Linked DNA regions of Tribolium castaneum. The protein of the gene in region 1 interacts with the protein of each later gene in a biochemical or structural test. Links are inferred from orthologs where the notes say so. Each region holds a gene or a part of one and is shown in the gene's direction. Other genes may lie near its edges.

What was found.
Region 2: the proteins of Cul5 (region 1) and protein big brother form a complex in vitro, tested with the Homo sapiens proteins (4 studies listed by BioGRID). The link is inferred for Tribolium castaneum from reciprocal best matches to the Homo sapiens genes CUL5 and CBFB.
Region 3: of the proteins of Cul5 (region 1) and NEDD8-conjugating enzyme UBE2F, one has a biochemical effect on the other in vitro, tested with the Homo sapiens proteins (2 studies listed by BioGRID). The link is inferred for Tribolium castaneum from reciprocal best matches to the Homo sapiens genes CUL5 and UBE2F.
Region 4: the proteins of Cul5 (region 1) and Roc1a form a complex in vitro, tested with the Homo sapiens proteins (4 studies listed by BioGRID and IntAct, with this or other methods). The link is inferred for Tribolium castaneum from reciprocal best matches to the Homo sapiens genes CUL5 and RBX1.

The regions. Positions count from the first base shown.
Region 1 is NC_087397.1:4,184,619-4,190,598, reverse strand, and holds Cul5 (cullin-5), read left to right. Parts: upstream 1-2,165; 5' UTR 2,166-2,353; coding exon 2,354-2,383; intron 2,384-2,437; coding exon 2,438-2,975; intron 2,976-3,123; coding exon 3,124-3,973; intron 3,974-4,025; coding exon 4,026-4,325; intron 4,326-4,519; coding exon 4,520-4,856; intron 4,857-4,905; coding exon 4,906-5,193; 3' UTR 5,194-5,232; downstream 5,233-5,980. Other genes in the region: ATPsynO (ATP synthase subunit O, mitochondrial), read right to left, coding at 1,080-1,307, 1,417-1,791, 1,867-1,893; hd (protein downstream neighbor of son homolog), read left to right, coding at 5,511-5,980. UniProt on the Homo sapiens protein: Core component of multiple cullin-5-RING E3 ubiquitin-protein ligase complexes (ECS complexes, also named CRL5 complexes), which mediate the ubiquitination and subsequent proteasomal degradation of target proteins.
Region 2 is NC_087398.1:9,984,204-9,989,694, forward strand, and holds part of protein big brother, read left to right. Parts: intron 1-4,087; coding exon 4,088-4,318; intron 4,319-5,491. UniProt on the Homo sapiens protein: Forms the heterodimeric complex core-binding factor (CBF) with RUNX family proteins (RUNX1, RUNX2, and RUNX3).
Region 3 is NC_087403.1:3,756,142-3,760,734, forward strand, and holds NEDD8-conjugating enzyme UBE2F, read left to right. Parts: upstream 1-2,111; 5' UTR 2,112-2,222; coding exon 2,223-2,480; intron 2,481-2,528; coding exon 2,529-2,690; intron 2,691-2,733; coding exon 2,734-2,850; 3' UTR 2,851-3,003; downstream 3,004-4,593. Other genes in the region: rb (AP-3 complex subunit beta-2), read right to left, coding at 3,199-3,337, 3,382-3,725, 3,781-4,177, 4,225-4,382, 4,431-4,593. UniProt on the Homo sapiens protein: Accepts the ubiquitin-like protein NEDD8 from the UBA3-NAE1 E1 complex and catalyzes its covalent attachment to other proteins. Together with the E3 ubiquitin ligase RNF7/RBX2, specifically neddylates cullin-5 (CUL5).
Region 4 is NC_087402.1:12,065,061-12,071,310, reverse strand, and holds Roc1a (RING-box protein 1A), read left to right. Parts: upstream 1-2,225; 5' UTR 2,226-2,321; coding exon 2,322-2,414; intron 2,415-2,466; coding exon 2,467-2,494; intron 2,495-2,543; coding exon 2,544-2,665; intron 2,666-2,716; coding exon 2,717-2,802; intron 2,803-4,855; coding exon 4,856-4,868; 3' UTR 4,869-5,028; downstream 5,029-6,250. Other genes in the region: e(y)3 (titin), read right to left, coding at 1,388-1,726, 1,775-1,922; serine-rich adhesin for platelets, read right to left, coding at 6,194-6,250. UniProt on the Homo sapiens protein: E3 ubiquitin ligase component of multiple cullin-RING-based E3 ubiquitin-protein ligase (CRLs) complexes which mediate the ubiquitination and subsequent proteasomal degradation of target proteins, including proteins involved in cell cycle progression, signal transduction, transcription and transcription-coupled nucleotide excision repair.

The DNA.
Region 1 (5,980 bases):
GCAACACGAACAAATCGTCAAGTTCGTGCAAGGGACTGTGGCCGAGGGGGCGCCGATTATCCCGATCTCGGCCCAACTGAAGTACAATATTGAAGTAACTATTTTAACTAACAACCACAAGAGTTGACGCTTCCTTCCAGGTGCTTTGCGAATACATTACGAAGAAAATCCCCGTTCCGGTGAGAGACTTCACCTCACAGCCCCGTCTTATCGTTATTCGATCGTTTGATGTGAATAAACCGGGGTGTGAGGTGAACGATCTCAAAGGGGGCGTCGCTGGAGGCAGTATTTTACGAGGGGTCTTGAAAGTCGGGCAAGAAATCGAAGTAAGACCCGGCTTGGTGAGCAAAGACTCTGAAGGCAAGCTGACCTGCCGCCCAATTTTCTCCCGAATTGTCTCCCTCTACACGGAGCAAAACGAGCTACAGTTCGCCGTTCCGGGAGGTTTGATCGGTGTTGGGACGAAGATCGAGCCGACTTTGTGTCGGGCTGACCGTCTCGTTGGACAAGTCTTGGGAGCAGTTGGGGCCTTACCGAGTATTTTTATTGAGTTGGAGGTGATTTATTAATGGTGGGTCTACTGTTTGTAATCAGCGGGATTGCAGGTCAGCTACTACTTGCTGAAACGTCTGCTAGGTGTGCGCACGGAAGGGGACAAGAAGGGGGCAAAGGTCCAGAAATTGTCCAAGAGCGAAGTCTTGCTAGTCAATATAGGGTCTTTAAGCACTGGGGGACGTGTCGTTGCCACGAAGGCTGATTTGGTTAAGATTGCTTTAACTAACCCGGTTTGTACCGAAATTGGCGAGAAGATTGCGCTCAGCAGACGTGTGGAGAAGCATTGGCGTCTCATAGGGTGGGGGCAAATCCGCGGAGGGGAGACTATTGAACCCACCAACAACTAGACACCAGTCTATCCCTCTACAGGAGTTTTATTTTCTAATACATTTCACACAGGTTACTGTAGCTTATATTTATTTAGAGTTTGGTGTTATAGGTTCCATTTTAAATAATATAAACAATAATGAAATTATGACGTTTTATTGGCGAACTATGCAACTTCTATAACCGTAATGATTAATTTAAACAGGAGTGGAAATGACTTCTGTGTACTTCTTGATTTTGCTAGCGACGCTCATATCAACGTATTTATCACCAATGCTGACGATCATTCCTCCTATGATAGAGGGATCAACTTTGGTACTCAACTGAATGGTCTCGCTTGACTTCACGAACGATTTTAAGACCGATTCCAACTTAGACTTTTGCGCAGCATCTAAGTCTCTGGCTGTGATGACCTCACAAGTCACCTAAAGGCAAAGTTCTAGCATGTACTTAATGACTGAACAACAAATTTTCTTAATATGACTGATTGGGCAAAAATTAGTATTGAACCATACAAACACCGTAAAACATTACCTCTCCACGATGGGCTGCCATCATGACCTTAAAGGCGTTGATAACCCCATCCAAATTCTTCAGACGCCCATTATCGGCAAGAGTCTGCAAAAGATTGGACGTCTGCGCGTTAAGCGATATTTTCGAGGCAATTTGTTTCAAAGCCTCGGATTTCAGCCCGCGCTTAATTGTGGGGTTCTTGATAAATTCCCTCAATTTGGGGTCAGACTTGATAGCTGACTGGAACTTTAGGAGGTCTTTTTCAACAGAATCGAGGGTTTTTTGCTTGCTGGCAGCCGAGTACAGGGCGGTGGCGTAACGTCCGTCAATGCCAAAGACCTGCACCGGAGGCTTAACCATCTGACTTGCGACATTGCTAGTGCTGAAGGAGCGGACCTGCGGTTATGTAATCACATTTTGGGTGATAGAGTGCCGACAACGTAATCACAAGTTGAACCAAGTTGTACTTACAAGCATCGAGAGCTTATTTGTGGCCATTATTGCGTTTTTTTGGTTGCTGGAAGTGAAATCGAACTTAGGGCCCCACTGCACTGTCAAGTTCAACCCTTCGACTGTCAAAAACTAGGGTCTTTGATGGTGTGACTTGTCGATGTTGGTGAAACGTTTTGGAAATGTCAGTTTGACAGTGACATTTTTTCAATTTTTCCGTAAAATTAATTAAAAATAAAATGAAGTGGTTATAGATTTCGTTTGGAATCGATAATTAATAGCGTGACTACCCCGATGTTTTAAAATTTCCCCTCGACTCTCGCAATTTAAGTAATTGGCGGTACCGCTCCCCTCTTATTGTCAGCAAGCCCAGCGACTAAGCACAAATATGCTAAGGTTAAGCTGAAACTACTTAAAATAAATCATTAAGATTAGTTTTAACCAATTTAAAACAATTCACACGTTAAACAAATGTAAAACATATCAGTAGCAACGCTGAGAAGTTTCAATGCCAATCGTAACCTCTAAAATGCTTAAGGTGATTGCAGTAACCTTCCATTACGTGCACAAAACCCTGAAGTGTGTTTTGCAGGAAAAGGGGCAACTAAAATTCGAAGACAAATGGCCCTTGATGCGCCCCATTGTCCTGAAGCTCTTAAAACAAGAACCAGTATCACCAGCCGAATGGCAGGAACTGTTTTACGACGTCCACTTAGTTTGTCTTTGGGACGAGAAAGGGCCAGTTAAATTACGCGATCACTTACAAGAAGATATAGTGCAGTTTATTAAACAAGCTCAAGCTAGAGTTCTGGCTCAAAGACAAGACGAAGCACTGCTGAAAGCTTACATTGCAGAATGGAGGAAATTCTTCACGCAGTGTAACTACCTACCCACCCCTTTTAGGCAGCTGGAAACGTCGTTACAGGGAAAAACTTGGTCAGGGACCAACAGCGGGCAAAGCGGGAGCGCCAAAAAGGGGGCCACAGACGAGAGCATAGTCAGGAAATTAATGCTCGATTCGTGGAATGAAAGTATTTTTAAAGATATTAAGCACAGGCTGCAGGATAGCGCCATGAAGCTCGTGCATGCGGAAAGGAACGGGGAAGCCTTTGACTCTCAGTTAGTAATAGGTAGGTTTATTTTAAATCCCAACACCGTATTAAATTTACATAACAACTCGTTCCATATATCATCATTTAAAAAGTAAAGACCAATTAGTAAATTTCGAATAAAATTTAGATTTTTTTTGCGTTGTTGTTTGGAATGAATATTTTGCAGGAGTTCGTGAGTCGTACGTGAACCTCTGTTCGAGCACCTACGACCGCTTGAAAATCTACCGCGAAAACTTCGAGGCGGCGTACATCCAAAGCACCGAAATGTTCTACCGACTTAAAGCCCCCGAACACTTGGAAACAAACGGCGTCCAGGCTTACATGCGCTACGCGGACAGCAAACTGCGGGAGGAAGAAGCCCGAGCTCAACGTTACCTCGAAGCTGGAAGCAACGGCGTGATCCAGTGTTGCGTCAAAGTTTTAGTCAGCAATAACCTGTCGGTGCTTTTGGCCGAATGTGCGCCCCTGATCAAAGCCGGCGAAACCGACCGACTCCAGTTAATGTTTAGGTTGTTAGAGCGGGTCCCGGAAGGGGTCCAGCCGATGTTGACCGAACTGGAGAACCACATAACCCAGGCCGGTTTGGCCGATATGGTGGCAGCTGCCGATATCATTACGCAAGATTCGGAAAAGTACGTTGAGAGATTGTTGGAGTTGTTCCGGAGGTTTAGTAAATTGGTGCATGATGCGTTTTCGGACGATCCCCGATTTTTAACAGCGAGGGACAAGGCGTTCAAAGCCGTGGTTAATGACACGACGGTGTTTAGGCTCGAGTTGAACACGGGGAGAAATGCCGGTGGGAAGGTTGTAGCGCCGGAAAGTAAGTGTCCGGAGTTGTTAGCCAATTATTGCGATATGTTGCTGAGACGGACGCCACTGTCCAAGCGATTGACCAGTGAGGAAATCGAATCGCGGCTTAAAGACGTTTTGCTAGTTCTTAAATATGTATCGAATAAAGATGTTTTTATGCGTTACCACAAGGCCCATTTAACGAGAAGACTTATCCTAGATGCGAGGTATTTTTGCCGCGAAAAAACACAATTTTGTATTGTTTCATTCGATTTTTAGCGCTGATAGTGAGAAGGAGGAAGATATGGTTGAGTGGTTGCGAGAGGTCGGAATGCCAGCCGACTACGTAAATAAATTAGCTAGAATGTTTCAAGATATTAAAGTTAGTGAAGACCTAAACGGCCAGTTTAGAACTTCAACTGCAAGACACGATGCTATTAATATTAAAATTCTTAATGCTGGTGCTTGGGCTCGGGGCTCAGAACGCGTCACTGTGAGCTTGCCAGTGGAACTGGAGGATTATATCCCGGAAGTAGAGGAGTTTTACAAGAAGAAACACTCTGGAAGGAAGCTACAATGGTATGAATGAACCCATCAAAGGCCCCCTTTTGAAGTTATTTCTAATTTATTCCTTGCTTTTAAATAATAATGTTTTTGGCCTTAAAACTCTCAAAAAAGGGTCAAATAACACAAATTTTGGGCTATTGATGTTTTTTTTTGACTTGTTTAAAAAAAGCGGAATAATGTCGTTTTTACTCAAAAATTGACCCTAGGTACCATCACATGAGCAACGGAACAATAACATTTGCCACCAACGGCGGAAAATTCGATTTAGACGTGACCACCTTTCAAATGGCTGTGCTTTTCGCATGGAATCAACGACCACACGATAGAATAACATACGAAAATTTACGTCTAGCGACTGAATTGCCAGATGGCGAATTAAGGCGGACGTTATGGTCCCTAGTGGCATTCCCCAAATTGAAAAGACAGTTGCTGCTGTTTTCGCCAAATGTTAGCGCTCCTAAAGACTTTACTGAACATACAGTTTTTTGGGTGAATCAAGATTTTGCGCTCATTAAAAATGGCAAACCGCAAAAAAGGGGAAAAGTAATCGAGACAATTATTTTATTTTCTTGTTTTTAAAACGCTTTTTCAGGTGAATTTAATAGGGCGGTTACAGCTGAGTACTGAAAGGTCCCAAATGGAAGATAACCAATCCATTGTACAATTACGAATTCTCAGGACACAAGAAGCCATAATAAAAATCTTGAAGATGCGGAAACGAATATCAAATGCTTCGTTACAAACTGAGTTGGTGGACATTTTGAAAAACATGTTTCTTCCGTCGAAAAAATTGATCAAAGAGCAGCTGGAGTGGCTAATTGAACACAAGTACATGAGGAGGGACGACGATGATATTAATACTTTTATTTATATGGCATGAAATTGTTATAAACAATAAAACATTTGTTATATATCTGAAGATGAGTCTTATTAATCAACCCACGTTACACCCATCTGAGGACGATTTTGGTCATTTTTGAGACTGAAACGTACAATTTTAACGACGATTTTGGGTTTAGAACAATCATATTTGAGAAAAAAATTAACAAACCCGCAAAATTTAAAATAGCGCCAACCGTCAACGTCAAATTGACAGCTGAGTGCGGCCATAAAATATGGTTATGTTGTGACGCTTCAATGTTTCGTTGATAAATTGTGTTGTCTGAATTAATTCTTCCCATTTGTGGCTTCGAGACAATGCCTCAAAGCCCCAAAAAGCCGGCCCCAAAATGGCACCACCCGTCCGAAGTCATGAAATTGCACAAATTGAAAATGAAGAAGAAGGCCCTTCAGGCGCGCATTGCGGGGGGCACTCTCAACACATCGCTCTCCGACGCCCAGGACAACAAAAACGCAGCTTTAGAAGACATCATTTCGGCCAAAAAACGCAAAAACCCGTTTGTGAAAACCAGCGAAAGCAAAAAATGCAAGCAAGATGTTCCCTCTAGTCTTGACGAGTCAACTGATCAGACGTTATTCAAGCTCTTGCATCAAAGTACTCCAAGTACGACGTGCAATTTGACCTCATTCGAGAATATTTTAAAGAAAGAAATCGAGCCTGAAGTGGTGGTTGTGAAGGCACAGGGCCAGAACGATATTCCCATTGACTGGACTTTAAAAACCAAGATACGTTTATGGTCAGAACAGCAATTTTCCTGGAGCCAGAA
Region 2 (5,491 bases), on another chromosome or scaffold:
ATTTGTGAGCAAAAATATTTTCGTCTGATAAAAAAAACATTTATTTTTTGCTTTTTAGTGCATCTTTTAAATACAAGTTTTTTTTCTAAAAAAACATTTTTTTAAATTTCTTTATGTATGTGATTAGTTGATTAGATTCAGGTATAATAATAGGTATTACTTTTAATTGGATCAAAATTGAATCAATTTATTTTTCAATCAGGTGGGCTAAAGCTTCTCAAAAAACCTATGCCTAGTTGTTGAAATTCTCGTGACAGAAAAATAAATTAGAAAATGCAAATAAAGACCAAAAATCCCATTGTAATTGCATAGACCGTGTCGGAAAAAATCCCATCAATAATATTGCATGTAAAACGGGGCGAATGACCACGGGCCACAATGGAAAAGACCATTACTTAATTATCTAGCAGCGTTTCGTAATTACAGATCGACTGCTGGTGTTATAGAATTTGATCAATGCGTCCAGATTGGTAAGGGCATTCAAACTCCATTCTATACACACCATCCATACAACAATATTTTTATTTATCGTTTTCCGCGCCGATTGTGATATCATAATTAGTTTTTTGTGCGTTGTGAACTAGAAATCCCGTTTTTTCGAAGCCATAGAACAAGGGCGAGAAAGGGTTGAAAGCGTCAAGTCACTCGATGCGACAGATGGTCCTAATGGGTTTCTGATCTTGTTAGCTAAAAAAAATGTTGACTTTCCTCGGGATTTCCCCGCTTGGAACCTTGAAGATCTCTCTAGGTCACCTCTATTGCACTCCTAACAATTAATTGCCTGAATACTAATAGACTGTGAATCATTTATTTGCTTATACACGACGATAAAACAAAGCGTGATCAGACATGCCGCACACGACACATTATCATAATAAAGAAAATTCTGACCAGACGGAGAATCCGAGAAAAACAAGGCGGGTTGCTGAACTCGCGAAAATTGAAATTTTGAGAGACAAAACGAAAAGTTAAACTGCCACGACGTGAAGTCATCAATTATTACACTCGACGCATAAATGATTTCATAAGTTTATGGACGCTTTTATGACTAAGAACAATCATGTCACTTCAACTCGCAGCATTTCATAAATTTTAACAGTTTACGACGAAAAATTGCCTTGACTTCCTTGCTTGAAGATTTATTTATTTTGTAATTCTAACTCAATGATAATGTGTTTCAGTTCCAGAAATTACTCAAGTCTTAGTTTTTGGAATTGCAGCTAAAAGTTTTTATTTTTAAAAATATCCCAAGTATAAAAAAATTTTTCGTTTTATCAATTTTTTTATCAGAAAACTATCAATCTAAATAGGCCAATAGATCGTTAGTTGAGATCTAATTTGGGTATTTATGACGATACTTTGCAAAAATAAGTTCAAAAACAAGCTAAATTTGCGAAAAAGGCCAAACATTTCGTCCTTTGGCCTGTTTGAAATAATCAGACTTGAGGTTTTGGTGTTAAAATGCTCCGAAAAAGACAAAAATAACGTAACTTTGACTAATTAGTTAAGCTTTCTGCCAAAATCAGAAAAAAATTGTACAGAAATTTTGAAAAAGTTAAAAAATTATTACGTTCTTACTAGATTATTGCCGGTTTACTGTTTTTTTTGCAGTTGAAGGTCCTTTGTTTTCTGCAAAATTCAGAAAAATTGTAGGTACGGATGGTTCGCCAAAAAATAATTCGACAAAAATGAGCTAATGGCAAAATATTTAGAAAAAATCAAAAAAATGTATTAAGCCGTAAGAAGTGATTGTCGGTTTCACAATCGAAGGTTTTTTTGATAAGCTTTGTTTTCTGCAAAAATCATGAGAATTCTATGGATAATTTGCTAAGAAAAATAAAGTCAAGACAAAAATAAAGTAGTATTTTGTGAAGACTAAAAAAATCGAAAATTATTAAAACTCTAAATAGCAATTGCTGGTTCACTATTTTTTACAATCGAAGGCCCGTTAGATAAGCTTTGCTATCTGCAAAAATTGTACAGATGGTTCACCAAAAAAATTATTCGACAAAGAATAGGCCAATGACAAAATATTTATTTTCAGAAAACAAAGAAATTACTAAAACCCTAAGATGTCATTGTCGATTTCACAGTCGACGATCTCTTTGATAAGCTTTGTTTTCTACAAAAATCATGAGACTTATATGGAAAATTCGCTAAGAAAAATAAGAAAAAAATAAAGTAGTATTTGGTGAAAACTAAAAAAAATAGCGAAAATTATTAAAACTTTAAATAACAATTGCCGGTTCACTATTTTTTTGAGATCGAAGGCCGTTTAGATAATCTTTGCTTTCTACAAAAGTCTGAAAAGTCTCACGAATGATTCAACAGAACAAAATAATTCTTCTGAAAACTAACTAATGCGTACTAACGACACAATATTTTGAGAAAACCAAATAAATATTAAAGTCGCAAGAAATAATTGTATATTTCACATTCGATGACCTTTTGTTATTTTCTGCAAAAAAACAGAATTCTTCGGATAATTCCCTAAAAAATAATTGGAACTAGATAGAAACAAAATATTAAAAAAAAAATAAAAAATTATATTAAAACCGTAACAAATTATTGCTGGTTTACTATTTTTTTGCAATCGAAGGCCCGTTGGATAAGCTTTGATATCTGCAAAAATTAGGAAAATTGTTCACCAGGAAAATGATTCACCAAAAAATAATTCGACACAGAATGGGTCAATGACAAAATATTTTGAAAAAACAAAGAAATTATTAAAGCCCTAAGAAGTCATTATCGGTTTCACAGTCGATGATTCTTTTGCTAAGCTTTGTTTTCTGCTAAATCATAAAAATTGTACGAACGATTCGATAAGAAAATAAATCGTCTAAAAATGAGCCAAGGACAAAATATTTTGTGGCAAAGAAAAAAAAAAAGTTCCAAGAAATGTTTGCATAGTTTACAATCGATAGTCCTTTTGATAAGCAAATGCTGTGTTTCCTCAGAAAAATTATTAAGATGATTCGCTAAGACAATTGTCTTTAAAGCGAGTTAGTGACGAAACAGTTTACTGTTTTTTTCTAAATGAAGACCTTTTTGATAAGCTTTGTTTTCTGAAAAATAAAGAAAAACAAATAATTTTCAAAAACATACTTCCTCTAAAAACCAACCAATAATTAACACATTATTTAAAAAAAAAACAAAAATTTATTAAAGCCTTAAGCGGCGATCGTAGGTTACAGGCGAAAGTCCTTTAACTTTTGCTTTCTGCAAAATTCGTAAACATCCTACGGATAATTCGCCAAAAAGTAATTAGTCAACCAATGAGTCTATTTTGCTTACCTATTTTAAAAAGGCAAAAAAAAGAATTCAAATTAATTAATTCCAGGTTTTTTGTAATTTTTTTTCTCGCTCAGAACAAAACTAAATTTTGCGAAACAGTTTTATTTTTGAGCATAAATGAATTTTTTTGCAGGAAAATTCGAACAATCTATAAGTTTCTAACACAAAATAAGATAATTTTTAAGAAATTGGGTTTGTTTATTGATTCATTTTAGATTTTACTTTTCTTATTATTATTTTTTGTTCTCGCTTCGTAAATCGTTGACTTTATTGGTCTCTCTCATGCCACCGTTATGCAAAAGGTCGCCAGACCAGCACCTTTTCGACAATAGAATCCGTTGGGTGCGTCCACCCCTTCGGGGCCGGTTCCTGGCCGCCCCTGAAACACTGGGCGTTTCCGAAATAAATCACGGCCACTTCTGACCAATGGTCTGTCCACGCCATCTGCGTAAATTGCCCTCGGTGAAAATCCACCTAATCTCGAAAAAATCCCTATCACCCCTCTCAAAACGTCATTATTAATTCTGACAACTCGAATAATAACAAACAGTCAAAGGTACAAATGCCTCCCGCGGGGTTATTCGAGCGCACCCTTCCTCGCTCTCAAAGAAAAAAATAAAGTTACAGATGTCGCCGAAAAAACTCATAACGACATAATTTTCGCACGCCTTTCGGACAAAGCGCACCCTTTGCCCCCGCCGAGAGGGCGGGAATCGATTCATTCCATTAGCAACGGGCCGATTCAATTTTTGCAATTTTATAATAAATTAACGGAGCTTTCGCTTGCTTTCAGGTGCACATCAAGTCCTCGTTCATCATGAACGGCGTCTGCGTGAGATGGCGGGGTTGGCTGGACCTGGAGCGCCTCGACGGCGTCGGCTGCCTGGAGTACTGCGAGGAGCGGGCCGCTCAGGAGGACGCCCTCCTGCGGGAGCAGATCGAGAGGTACAACCAGAGGCTGCGGGAGTTCGAGGACAAGCAGAGGGGGTACAGGCAGCAGGACCGGCCTGAGCAAGACCTAGAGGTACGTGTCGGGGGCGCCCTCCACCAGAGGAACTACATGAAGCTGTATTAGGTTTAGTGATACTTGGCATGATTAATTTTTCGTTTAATCTGTCTTTTTTACCTTTATTTTTGTAAATATTTATCGTTGAATGTTGACGTAATTTTAGTTACCCGATTCTTATGAATGCAATATGTAAATAAACGGATTTTTCATCCATTTTGTTTCATTTTTGTTTGCTCGTTTTTATTTGACCGTGAATCGGAAAGAAGGTAAGTAACTCATTTCACATCACACGCCAGCGGTTTTTTGGATTTTGTTGGACAAATGTCGGTGTTTCGTTTTCTAGAATAATGCAAGTGAAATCTTTAGAGTGCGAGCGTCGAACCGGAGAATTAGAGGATTAGATTAAAACCGGAGCAATGTTTCAGTACCCGTTTTTGCTTTCAGGCGATACTTATTCCGCCCGAAATCTGTTTATTCACCATGGTGGCTCCCACGCAGATTTCTCGATGCACCCCAGGGATGCATTACCGTTTGATGGGCCTTAATCCGATTTTATCTGCACCTGTTTAAGGGGCACGGACAAGTTTATTTTACTCCGGAAAAAGCCTCGTCTGTAATTAATAAACAGCAACAAATCGGAAAAAATACAATAGTGGTGAAAGTTTCTATGCTTTGAGGCAACACTTACAAAAACCTCGCTTTGGAAAGGCGCAACACGTGTAGAATGAATCGATTTGTCAATAGTTTTTGTCATTTGCTTGCTTTTTGATGAAAAAACCCGAGTTACCCAACGTGTTAATTGCTGCAAGAGCAAGTTGTTGAGTATCGTTTTTCGTATTGTCATGGATGGTGATTTTATCGTGGGAATTTATTCACTTTTTAACGGAAATGAGCAAGCTCAACCAGTTTTGTACTAATAGGACATTAAGAAATGTTTGAGCAAGTGAATTTTACGCTCCGGCGACTTAATAAAATGTCTACTTGTCGTGCTGAGTGGGTGTTGCACTTTAATGGGCAGCAATCTGGGTGCTTTTAAAGGACGATTATTGCCCGGATTAGGTCCGAAAGTAGGGCACTTTATCTGATAAAATAAAGCTTAGCAGAAAGAAAGTGAAAACGTTTATTTCGAGGTCTGTAATAAATGTTTAAGTCTAAATACGGAATCCCTTTATATGTAAAAAAACACAT
Region 3 (4,593 bases), on another chromosome or scaffold:
TTGATAAAAAATCTAGTAATATGTAAAAGCGTTTGTGGTAACGCAGCGCTACTCTGGTGGCCGCTCGGCAAAACAAAGATCAAGGACTACGAATTAAAAATATTTGGTTTTTCCCTAGGTATTACTTAATTAATGATAATTTTATTAGAATATTTAATGGATAATGTGGATAATTGTGACTTTTCGATAAATTACTAAACCGAAATTATCTTCGTTTCACGAATCCGTCATTCGACCAATAAAAATACAGCAAGTACCTCCTTCTTGCTTATCTACCGCACAAAAAATTGCAAGGTGTTTGTCATTGGATAGCGCTGGGCTGATGCACTCCCGACAGTAAGACAGACCAATCAGAAGGCGATTAAAGTGCTTCCAAAAACTGATGTTTTATTGTTCAAATATCGGCTGATATTTGCCTAATTAAATAAATTTTGCTGTTTTAACACTTTGTCTAATTGTTGTTGACGTCCCTTTTCCAATAAAATTATTTTTGCCTTCTTCGAAGCCAATTTCAGCGGCAGATGTGGGCGAAGATTAATTCGGTCATTAATTTTTATTTAACTTAATATTCTGCAACATTTGCCTGATATCAGGTCCTAGGACCTCCTAGCAGGGCCGAAATGCTGTAATTTTGACTTTCTTATCTTGAAAACTATTTAAGCTTTTTTATTATTCCTAATGAATAGCACTTAGAAGAAAATGATGCTTGTATGTTGTTGTTTGTTAGAAAATTACGTAAAAAATTGACGCTAGTTCCAAAAAAAATTATTCAAAGAAAGCAGCAAAAAAATATGTATACCTTATTTAATAAAAAACAGGAATCATTTTTGATAAATACTGAAATTACAAAAGGCTTTTTCGTGTTTTGGGTTGATCCTGGGTCTTCGTGGAAAGAGTAGTGGTCACGCAGCGCTATTCTGGTGGACGCTCGGCAAAACAAAACCGCCTTTCTAATATAAAGTTACATTTTTGGAAAAACATCTAACGTCCAAATCAACAAAGAGAAAAAATTTAAAATAACATACTGTCAATTGGGCTATCAGTATTACGTGTCACAAATCAAATTTTGTGAACATTTCTTTGCAAATTATCTACAATTTAAATGTATATACAAAACAATAAAAAAACCTTTATTGTAATGTGACATTTGCCTGTAATTTTAGATTCTTCAAAAAAATTTTGTGATTTTCGTATGGCAAGCTTTTAAAAATAAGTCATGTTACAATATTATGATAAAATTTTAAGCGTCATTATTCGCATTTTTGTATTTTTACGTTAATAATTTGATAACTTAATTAGGGCCATTTATCCAAATATTTCACTTGGGTGGCGCACCTGTTACGTATTGCTGATTATAACCGATTTACCTGTTAGGAATCTTCATGAAAATATTTTATCAGTCTACATACTATCAGAATGAATAAAAGGGGTATCAGCGTTGCGGCAGTTACATGCTTATAAGTCGTATACTCGCGAAGAAAATGGGTTGTGTCTCATCAAAACAGTCTAAAAAAGATGCCAAGAAGGTTCGAGGTAGGGAAGACAATCGTGGGCGTCTTTCGGTGATTTGGGAGTACGTAAAAAATTCAAATAAGTACTTATATTTTTTAACATAAATTTTCTATTCAGGGAGTTAAGCTCTGCTGAGGTCCTCAACCTTGCCAAAACAGACCCGGAGGTCTACCAAATTTGTTTAAGAGATAATATCATAAGACCACCCTGCCGTAGAAGAAGCCTGTGGAAGATGTTTGGTAACGAAGCCGCTCAAGTACGCCCCAAAAAGTAAACACAAATGTATCTTTTATTTACGCAATAAACTATTTTTACTCATTTAATAAATCATTCATGTGGGTCTCTCCTTCCTTAGTAAAAAAATCCAAAACATTGGAAATAAAAATTTGATTTACAAGGTCAAGTCTTGTAGTATTTGGGTGGAAACTTTTTAAATAACCATGGTACATATACGTGTTATAAAACACAATTAGACCACCCCAAATTTGAGTTTTTTCTATTAACCAAAATTATGTTAAAGTAACAGTTGATAGTATTTTCGCCTTATTTCGTTTAAACAATTTGAAAAAAAATTCGGTTCGAAGATCTTTCGGTCCGGGTCACTCTCGTTGACAGCGGCGCTGTCAGTTACCTAACCAAAAATTTATATCAAAATTAAACATAAACAATGCGATGATTTTCATTGTGTTTCAATAATAATTTGTAGAATCATGATTACGCTATCCCAACGCTTGAAAAAACAGCAAGAAGACCGTTCTTCTAACACGAACCGAATTTCAATCAGGGACAAACTACTAATTAAAGAATCACAAGAAATGGCCCAACTTTTGCCCAGTAATTGTTCAGTTTTCTACGAGAATGAGAACGATTTGAGCAAGTTCATTTTAACCGTGAGACCCACGGAGGGCCTTTGGGAGGGTGGTACTTTTAGATTTGCTATTAACGTTACCGAAGAGTATAACATGGTTGTAAGTATTGCCACCGAGTTGCGATCGGCGGTTGAGTCTCGTTTGCAGCCTCCCACTGTCAGATGCCTCACGCGTTTGTGGCACCCTAACATAACCGAAGTCGGCGAAGTGTGCCTATCGCTCCTGAGGCAGCACAGCATGGACGGGCTGGGCTGGTCGCCCATTAGGAGATTAAACGACGTCGTCTGGGGCCTACACGCCTTATTTACGGTATTTATCGGATCGTTTGGACACGGTTGACGTTTTGTTTCAGGATTTGTTAAATTTTGACGATCCTTTAAATATAGAAGCTTCGGATATGTATAGAAACTCTAAGGAGGAATTTAGAATGAAAGTGAATGAGTACGTTATGCTGTATGCTAAAGATTAATCGTTGTAGAGTCGTCGATATTACTGTTTGTCCGCTTTCACGAGTGTGAATACTCCATTTCCTTTTTTTGTAAAAAGTTATCGTAAAGTTTGTCCACAAGTGAGCAACTCTTCACTTTGGGTAAAGTTTACCACAATATATTTATATGAATTACCGCTGTTTCAATCCAAACACACACTTCTCATAAATATTTATTTGAAAGGATAAAAAAGAAAAGTGATAACTAGGTGGCAAATACATCCAACATAATATTCACGCAAAAGGAAGCTCGGCGTTTAGCAAGTGCACATTATGTTCAAGTATTTCCCGTTACAAACAAGTACAATACATCAAATACGCTGAAGCAACTTATGACTTGAGATTATGTAGCAGTTCGTTGAGCATAACGGACCCAAAGACCATGTTCTCGCAATTGACAGTGACCACCTCCTGCTTGGTTATTGTGACCAGAACGAAGTTCGACGATTTCAGCGTTTGGCCCGCGAACCTGTAAACGAGACTAATCACTCGCCACACAAAAGCGGGCGTTACCTCAGGCTGTCGCTCGCTGGGTCGCACACGCCCAAGTTGCTGCATTCGGTGACTCTTTCGACGATGTTAGAGACGCACTTCACTTTGCCGATATGTTCGTTCATGCCGCCCAACTTCGACTGCTTTTCCTGGAATGTGGGGGTGTCCATCCGGACGGGGCGCACCAGCTCGCCTATGGTCGGCTTTATGCAGACGCTGAAGTTGCCCAACGAGCACACGATCTCGAAGTTCGCCGGCTGGGTCGTGTCGTTGAAGTCGATCCCGAGCGACGCGGGCAGGCAGCCGTTTGGCGGCAATCTGGCGATGTTTGCGAACTCATACATCGACATGTCCAGTCCTAAATTCTACAAAATTCGGACACTGGAACCGTTTCAAAGAAACAAAATAAGACCAGCCAACCTTTTTTCCCAGCCTAATATCACTGATGTCTTCGGTGGTGTTGTTGGTGAACATTATATTGATGTTTGCCATACTTGGCGATAAAATATGAGGCGTCCGGGTGAACCTGTAAGTGGCCGACAGCCCCCGCCCGTTGATTTTGTTAATAAGTTCGATGGTTTTAGTGTTGGTGAAAACGGGGGGCGTCATTTCGACCTGCGAAGGTGTCGTGCTTACGACACTCGGTGTTAGGAACCCGCCCAGTGATGGGGTCATCACGGGTGCAGTGCTATCAACGTCGCCTAAATCTAGCAATAAGTCTAAGTTTGATTTTGGTTTTGGTGCTTCGGGTTTCTTCGCTTCTTCTTCACTCTCCTCACTGCTGGACTCTTCGCTCGAAGTGCAACTCGCCGACTTCCTGAAATTGTTTTACTATCAATTTGCCCGAAAACCACAGTTCCGTACTCATCACTTGACGATTCTTCCTCATATTGACTTTCGCTGTCTTCACTCGAACTGTCGCTACTAGAGCTAGACGAGTCGGAGCTGTCCGAGCTGTTGTTGCTACTAGCCCCCCGGGAACTCCCCGACTCCCACAAGAACATGTCTTTACCCTTTTTGTCCTGAAACAGTGATTTATTTCGGAAATTTCGGTAACGGCTGATAAGTACCGATTTTTTGTACGATTTGGAGTCTTCAATTACGATTGGTTCGACGTTTCGGACGTCACCCGGGGGCGGATTCTCCGGGAACGGGGGCAGGGGCTCATAGCCGGTCGCTCGTTGCTTGATATAGTGCGACAGGGAGCCCAATTGCAAGTCTTCGTGGTCTTTG
Region 4 (6,250 bases), on another chromosome or scaffold:
TCAATCTCAAACCAAAAACTGAAAACTTAGTTTATAATTTATAAACCATATCTCCAACCACGTTTTTCGTTTGCTTGGCTATACTGTTCAGAAAAAGGTTGGTTTTTCACCTTATTTTTAAAATAATTGTATTGAAAACTGAAAAACGTGTTTTTTTATAAGACCTATAGGTTATATTGATATCATAAGTTGTCTCCTAGTAGCAAAATTATGATCTAATAATAGACCAGCTGTGTTATTAAATAATAACCAATATAAAATAATAATTAATAGTAAGCACAAAAATTTTATAATATTTTTTTGTTCTTAATATTGCTTTGTGACCTCATTTTTGTTTATTTTTATTTACATTTTATTCTTGTTACTTAATTTTACATGAGAATTAATTTTGTTACATTTCGAAATATTTTGTGTTTATTTTCTTTGATGATATACCTAATAATCGTATAAAGTATAAAAGCATAAAAGATAATTACAAACATACAGAGCATTTGTGAAATACTACAATGGAATATAACGCTACAGTAAAAAAATTACTCAAATATGAGAAAATTATATCAGGAAATTATTTAATCATAGACTATAAATATCAAATCACCTAATTTTCAGCCATTCCAGTTTAACGGACGGAACACTGCAAAAAAATTTTGATTTTATTTTCAGTTTTTATGAACAGTATCAGTTGAAATGATTTTTTTTTCTAGGACAACAGTACCAGTCAAGGTGTTTCCAACCTATAATTGGAGCCACATTGTAAAATTGGAAATGCGAACAGAAAAAAAAATACAAATTGATATCTATCATAGATTTTTAAATTTTTGCAGAACCGTTTCTTAAAAATTTCAATTATTAATTATTCAATTATCAATAACCTTAATTATCAAAGACTTTAACAATATCAAAATTAAGACACTGTTAACATCGCATTTAACCGAATATTTTTTTTAAATAAGATTGATAAAAATAGTTATTAATGACAAGATCTTCCAATAAAACTAGAAAATATATAAGCTATTAATTCTTTGAAAAGCATAAATAATTTATAACAATTACTTCTAGAGAAAATCCGACGTTGGCATTTTTATAATTTCGAAACAGCTAATAATTACGCTAACATTTGATACTGTTCAAAATTTTTAAGACATGACTGTGAAGCACCCCAATGCCCATAGCTGACTTATTAACTATTAACTCAATTAATTAATAAAATATTTGATTTCGGCTGTATTTTTTGGAAACGAAATTTAGTACATTTTGAAACCAAAACATACATGTTCCATTGAAGCCCAGACTAGTGGCTCCCCTAACGCCCGTTTTTTGACACTGGCTGACTTATTAACTAATCATTTAAAATTAATATAAATTAAATAAATATTTGATTTCTTACCTTGCAACATTTGAAGTTCAGCTGAAAACTCATCAAGCTCCATCGCAATGTCTTTATTAGCCCCTCTCAGATCCTTTCGAATCGTAAAATCAAACGAAGTCGTCGGCTCCCCTAACAAATTCTCCAAATCCTGAACAATGTCATCAACATTTTCTGTAATTTTCTCCGTAGAAGTATCCGTAATATTCATATCGAGCAGGTCCTTATCGGACGCAATCGGCGATGGGTTACCACCCCCTGACATCTCCCTCACTAAATTAATAACTGGGTTCGCACTACTCGGGTGTTTCCCCGAATCCAAAGCATCCGAGGATGTGCTACTGATTGGATCGTCAGCAGCTGAACACAATTGAAGTAAGCGCAAGGAAAACTGGAAAAAACACTTACCAATGTGTGACGTTGAAGTGGTTGTAAATGCATCGGTGGAAGACGTTGGGGTTGAATCACAAGACTCACTTTTTTCGTCGGTATTCGATGACAGCAGGTTGCCCATTGTTGAGGTTAACTCGCTTTCGGTGGATTTTTCACTTTCCATTGTCACTTGCACGGGAAAATGGTGCTATTTGGTTGAAAACACACCGTTTATCACAGACAATTAATTACGGGTATAATTAAATGCGGCATTTTTGTTTACGGTTTTAAACGACAAACGCCATCACAAGTGGAAGCTTCGCCAGGAGTGCCAACGGCAACCGTCAGACGAAAATGGCCATTAATAAAATAATTATCAATTAATACAACACTTGTTTACAATTTTAATGCGTTAGCCATCCATTAGTTAAGTTAATAACATTGATTTTCGCAAAATTGGTCATTCTGTGGTGGTTGAAGGGCACCCAACACACGCGTAAAATTCCCCAGTCGAAATTTCACCCCAAACAGTTTGGCAATTAACGTTTGTAAAAACTCACAATTTTGTGTTATTTGGGCAAAAATGGCAGCGGCAATGGACGTGGATGTTGACGAGGTCGAAGTTCCCACTTCGAGCAGTTCCAAGGGTGAAAAGAAGCGTTTCGAAGTGAAAAAGGTAAGTTTGTGAGACATAACCTAACACTTGATGATTTTTCATTTTTATGAAGTGGAACGCCGTAGCGTTGTGGGCTTGGGGTACGCTGTGTCATTTTATTAGACACGTTGGTTTTAATTAAAATTTTAGATATCGTGGTCGATAATTGTGCCATTTGTCGCAATCATATTATGGATTTATGTATTGAGTGTCAGGCAAATCAGGCCTCAGCGACCAGTGAAGAGTGTACAGTTGCTTGGGGAGTGTGTAATGTGAGTAATTTGCTGTTTTTTGAGTTTTGGTTTTAGTGAATCTGGTTTTAGCACGCGTTTCATTTTCACTGTATTTCGAGGTGGTTGAAGACAAGGCAGGTGTGCCCACTAGATAATCGAGAATGGGAATTTCAAAAGTAAGTTTTTTTATTTTAAATGTTTTTCTAACGGGTTAATAGTCCCTTTGTTTTTACAACTTTTACAATACAGAGGGTTTAAATTTTTTATTGTTATACCATCTAGTGGTCAATTAACGATCTACTTTGTTGTGTGACATGGCGGGAAATTTGAATGTCACATTTCACAGTTTTTGTTATAGTAATTTCATAATAATACTTAAACACAGGCTGTCCCAACGATCCCAAAAAGCTCCATAATTTGTTTATTATTAAAGATATTGAGTTTTCCTTTTTTTTAGATACGGGTATGCATATAGAGGATGTTCCAATATAAAAAAACACTAAAGCTATGTTTTTTCAAATGAAACACCCTAAATTTTATTGCATTTTTGCTTAGTTTTTAAAATATTTTGATTTTTTTGACAAAAACACAAAAAATTATTACACAAAAAGGCAGAATCGTAGAATCCCACACGGGGAAAAGTTCAAACTTATAAATCTGTTCCAATTGTTTAGCGTATTACAATTAGAAACAGAAAAATTAAAGTTTATTAAAACTTGAAAAACTTAAATGGAACACTCTATTTTTTGTTATTGCTTCTCAAAAATTACTAAATTACTAAAAACATAAAGTTTCAACTTCCTAAAGTTACTAACTAAAAAGATATTTCACTTTAAACGTTAATTTCAACAACATATCACAACCATAGCAACTCCACCACAGACCACTTGTTGGAGATTATACGGGACTAAAAATTCTATAAGTATTGAAATTTTAATTATTTCACTGTTATAAATGACAAATAATGGCCTAAAAGTAACATTAAAGTTATTATTAGCAGAAAATTTCACTTTTTGACTACTGAAACAATAGGTAATAATTTTTTTATTGTTTAATGTTAAAAATCTTTTGAGTAATCACTAATTAGCGAAAGACCCAACTGTTAATCTTGTCAGAGAGACTATTTAAAGGTCTTTTAGATGCAAAAATAAAAATTGGGTGTTCCATTTAAAATTTTTAAGTTATTCAACTTGCAACAAACCTCTTCATTTTTTATCTTCTTGATTGCAGTAAGCTAATAAAAATAATACATCCTTGGAGTTTGAACTTTCTTTCTTTAAAGTGGTGAAAGTTCCTCTTTTCTGAGATTCTAAGTTTTTATGTAACGATTTTTTTAAAAAAGCGTGTTTTGGCAAAAAAATCCAGTTATTGTAAAAACAAAGCAAAATCGACCTATAACAATTTGAAAAGCTTGAAAACATCTGTGTTAAAAGCTACATCCAAAAATGCAAAAAATATAGGTTGTTCCATTTAAAAAAACAAGTTTGTATTGTATCTAATTTTAGAAACAGCCTGTATACTTGAAAATAATTTTAAGTGGTAGGTACTTTAACTTAAAAAACAGTATAATCGTCAACGTTAGTATTTGTCCTAAGAACGTATTTAAACAACTTAAATAACTTAAATAAAAATCAAAGTAATTTTACTAAAAACTGAATTAATATGTATTTGTTTTCTAACAATTGTTCAATTGTTGTAATATTAATTAATTATTTCGTTTGAATAAATAAACTGTTTCAAAACTATAAAAACGCCAACGTCGCCTGTTACTGAATTATTTTTTTAAACAAAATACATAGAATTTTTAAAATAGTTACTAATGATTAGATCTCTCATTGAAAGTATAAATTACATTAGGTACTATTTTTTAAAGTGCATGAATAATTTATAACAACTAATTTTGAGAAAAAATGCGATTTTGGCGTTTTTATACTTTCAAAATAGCTAATACATATACTGCATTTGCCAAATAACAACGAATAATGAGAAACGCTTTTGTAAAAGTTTTTTAGTTACCGGTATATTGACTTGTTCTCTACAGAAATACATCATCCGATAAATTTCAGAAAAACTCAAACAGTAGTTTACGAAAAAAATCGAAGAAAACAATTTTTAAGAAACTGTAGAAAGTGAAAATAAACTGAAACATGTGATGGTGGTGTAAATTACTTTGATTTTTTTTATTTTATTTTTTATTCTAAGAAAGTACTGATGATGTATTTTTTGCAGGTATGGGCATTGATCGTTATGTTATCAGTAGCATAATACGGTTTTCGGTATTTGATTCTCACCATTTTTTTTCGTAAACTCAACATGTTATAACGGAAATTTAGTTTTTGTATAATCCAGGTCTTGAAATTTTTTGTTACATTTTGTATTTCAATAAATTATTATTCAATTCATACTGTCTTTTTTCAATACCTACTATCCCAAAATAATTACTAGTTGTAAAAATAAATTTTTTTGGTTTTTACTGAGTACGCATAAAACCTAATCTTCCGAATTCCAGTATCTTTGTTCATGGATTGTCATGCACATAACGTAAATATTTCTAATTTTATTAATAATTTATTAAAGAGCTGAAATTATTTGCAACTGCGTGTTTACTGTTCCCATTTTGGCCTTAAAAGTTTTAAGAAATGTTTCCTTCTCTTTTTTTTCTTCCTTGAGATGCATTAAATTTAAAGTTTCGGGAGTTGATACTTTTTGAGTCTTTTTATTTCGTTTTATGTTAAGAATATCATTTGGTCATTAATATCAATTTTTGCGTGTACTTATTTGTTGGTTTTTTCTTAATTTTTATTTTGTAGGGTTGAACTGAATAACTTTCAGCCACACTTCGCCCCACTGAATTATTTATTGTTTCTTTTTTCAAAGCCTTCTTAATATTATTATTATCGATACCTAATGATAATGAATAATGATTTTTCATTTTTTCAAATACTAGTCATTCCAATTTAATAAAAATGCTAACAACTTCGTTTGTTTAAATAATGTTGATAAAAATGTAAAATATTTTTTGATTATTAGATGTGTCATTGAAATCATAAATTACATTAGCTATTAAGGTTTAGAAGTGCATGAATAATTTAACTTTGAGAGAAAAGGCGGCACTGCTATTGTAATTGGAATGGATGTTATAAAAGGAGAGGAGCTATACAAAAATTTAGTTATTCCCATAACATTTATTTCAACACTCCTATAACGATTACTTTTCTAGTTCAAAAACTGAGGCATTTTTCAAAATATTGAAACTAAAAAGCTGTAGTGGAATTTTCTCCTATATTTTTGTATTATTAATTGTTCATTGATTTGTACTATCTATTGTTGATTTGCTCCATGATGAACGTAAGTATGTTTCGAGAAAACCAATATGTTTCTATTATTTAACACAGTTATTTTATGTTATTATTCATAACCTAACAATTGGGCTGCCAAATTAGTAATTATAAAATACGAAAACAGCGACACTGGTGAATAAATTATGATAGGTTTTTTAAACAAATAAAGGACGTAACATTCAAAAGTATTTATTTTTTCATGAACCTATTCTCCATTCACAATAATTTATTTATTTCCTTTACATCCTGCGGCGTTTGGCCAATCACAAACATTCAATTTGGG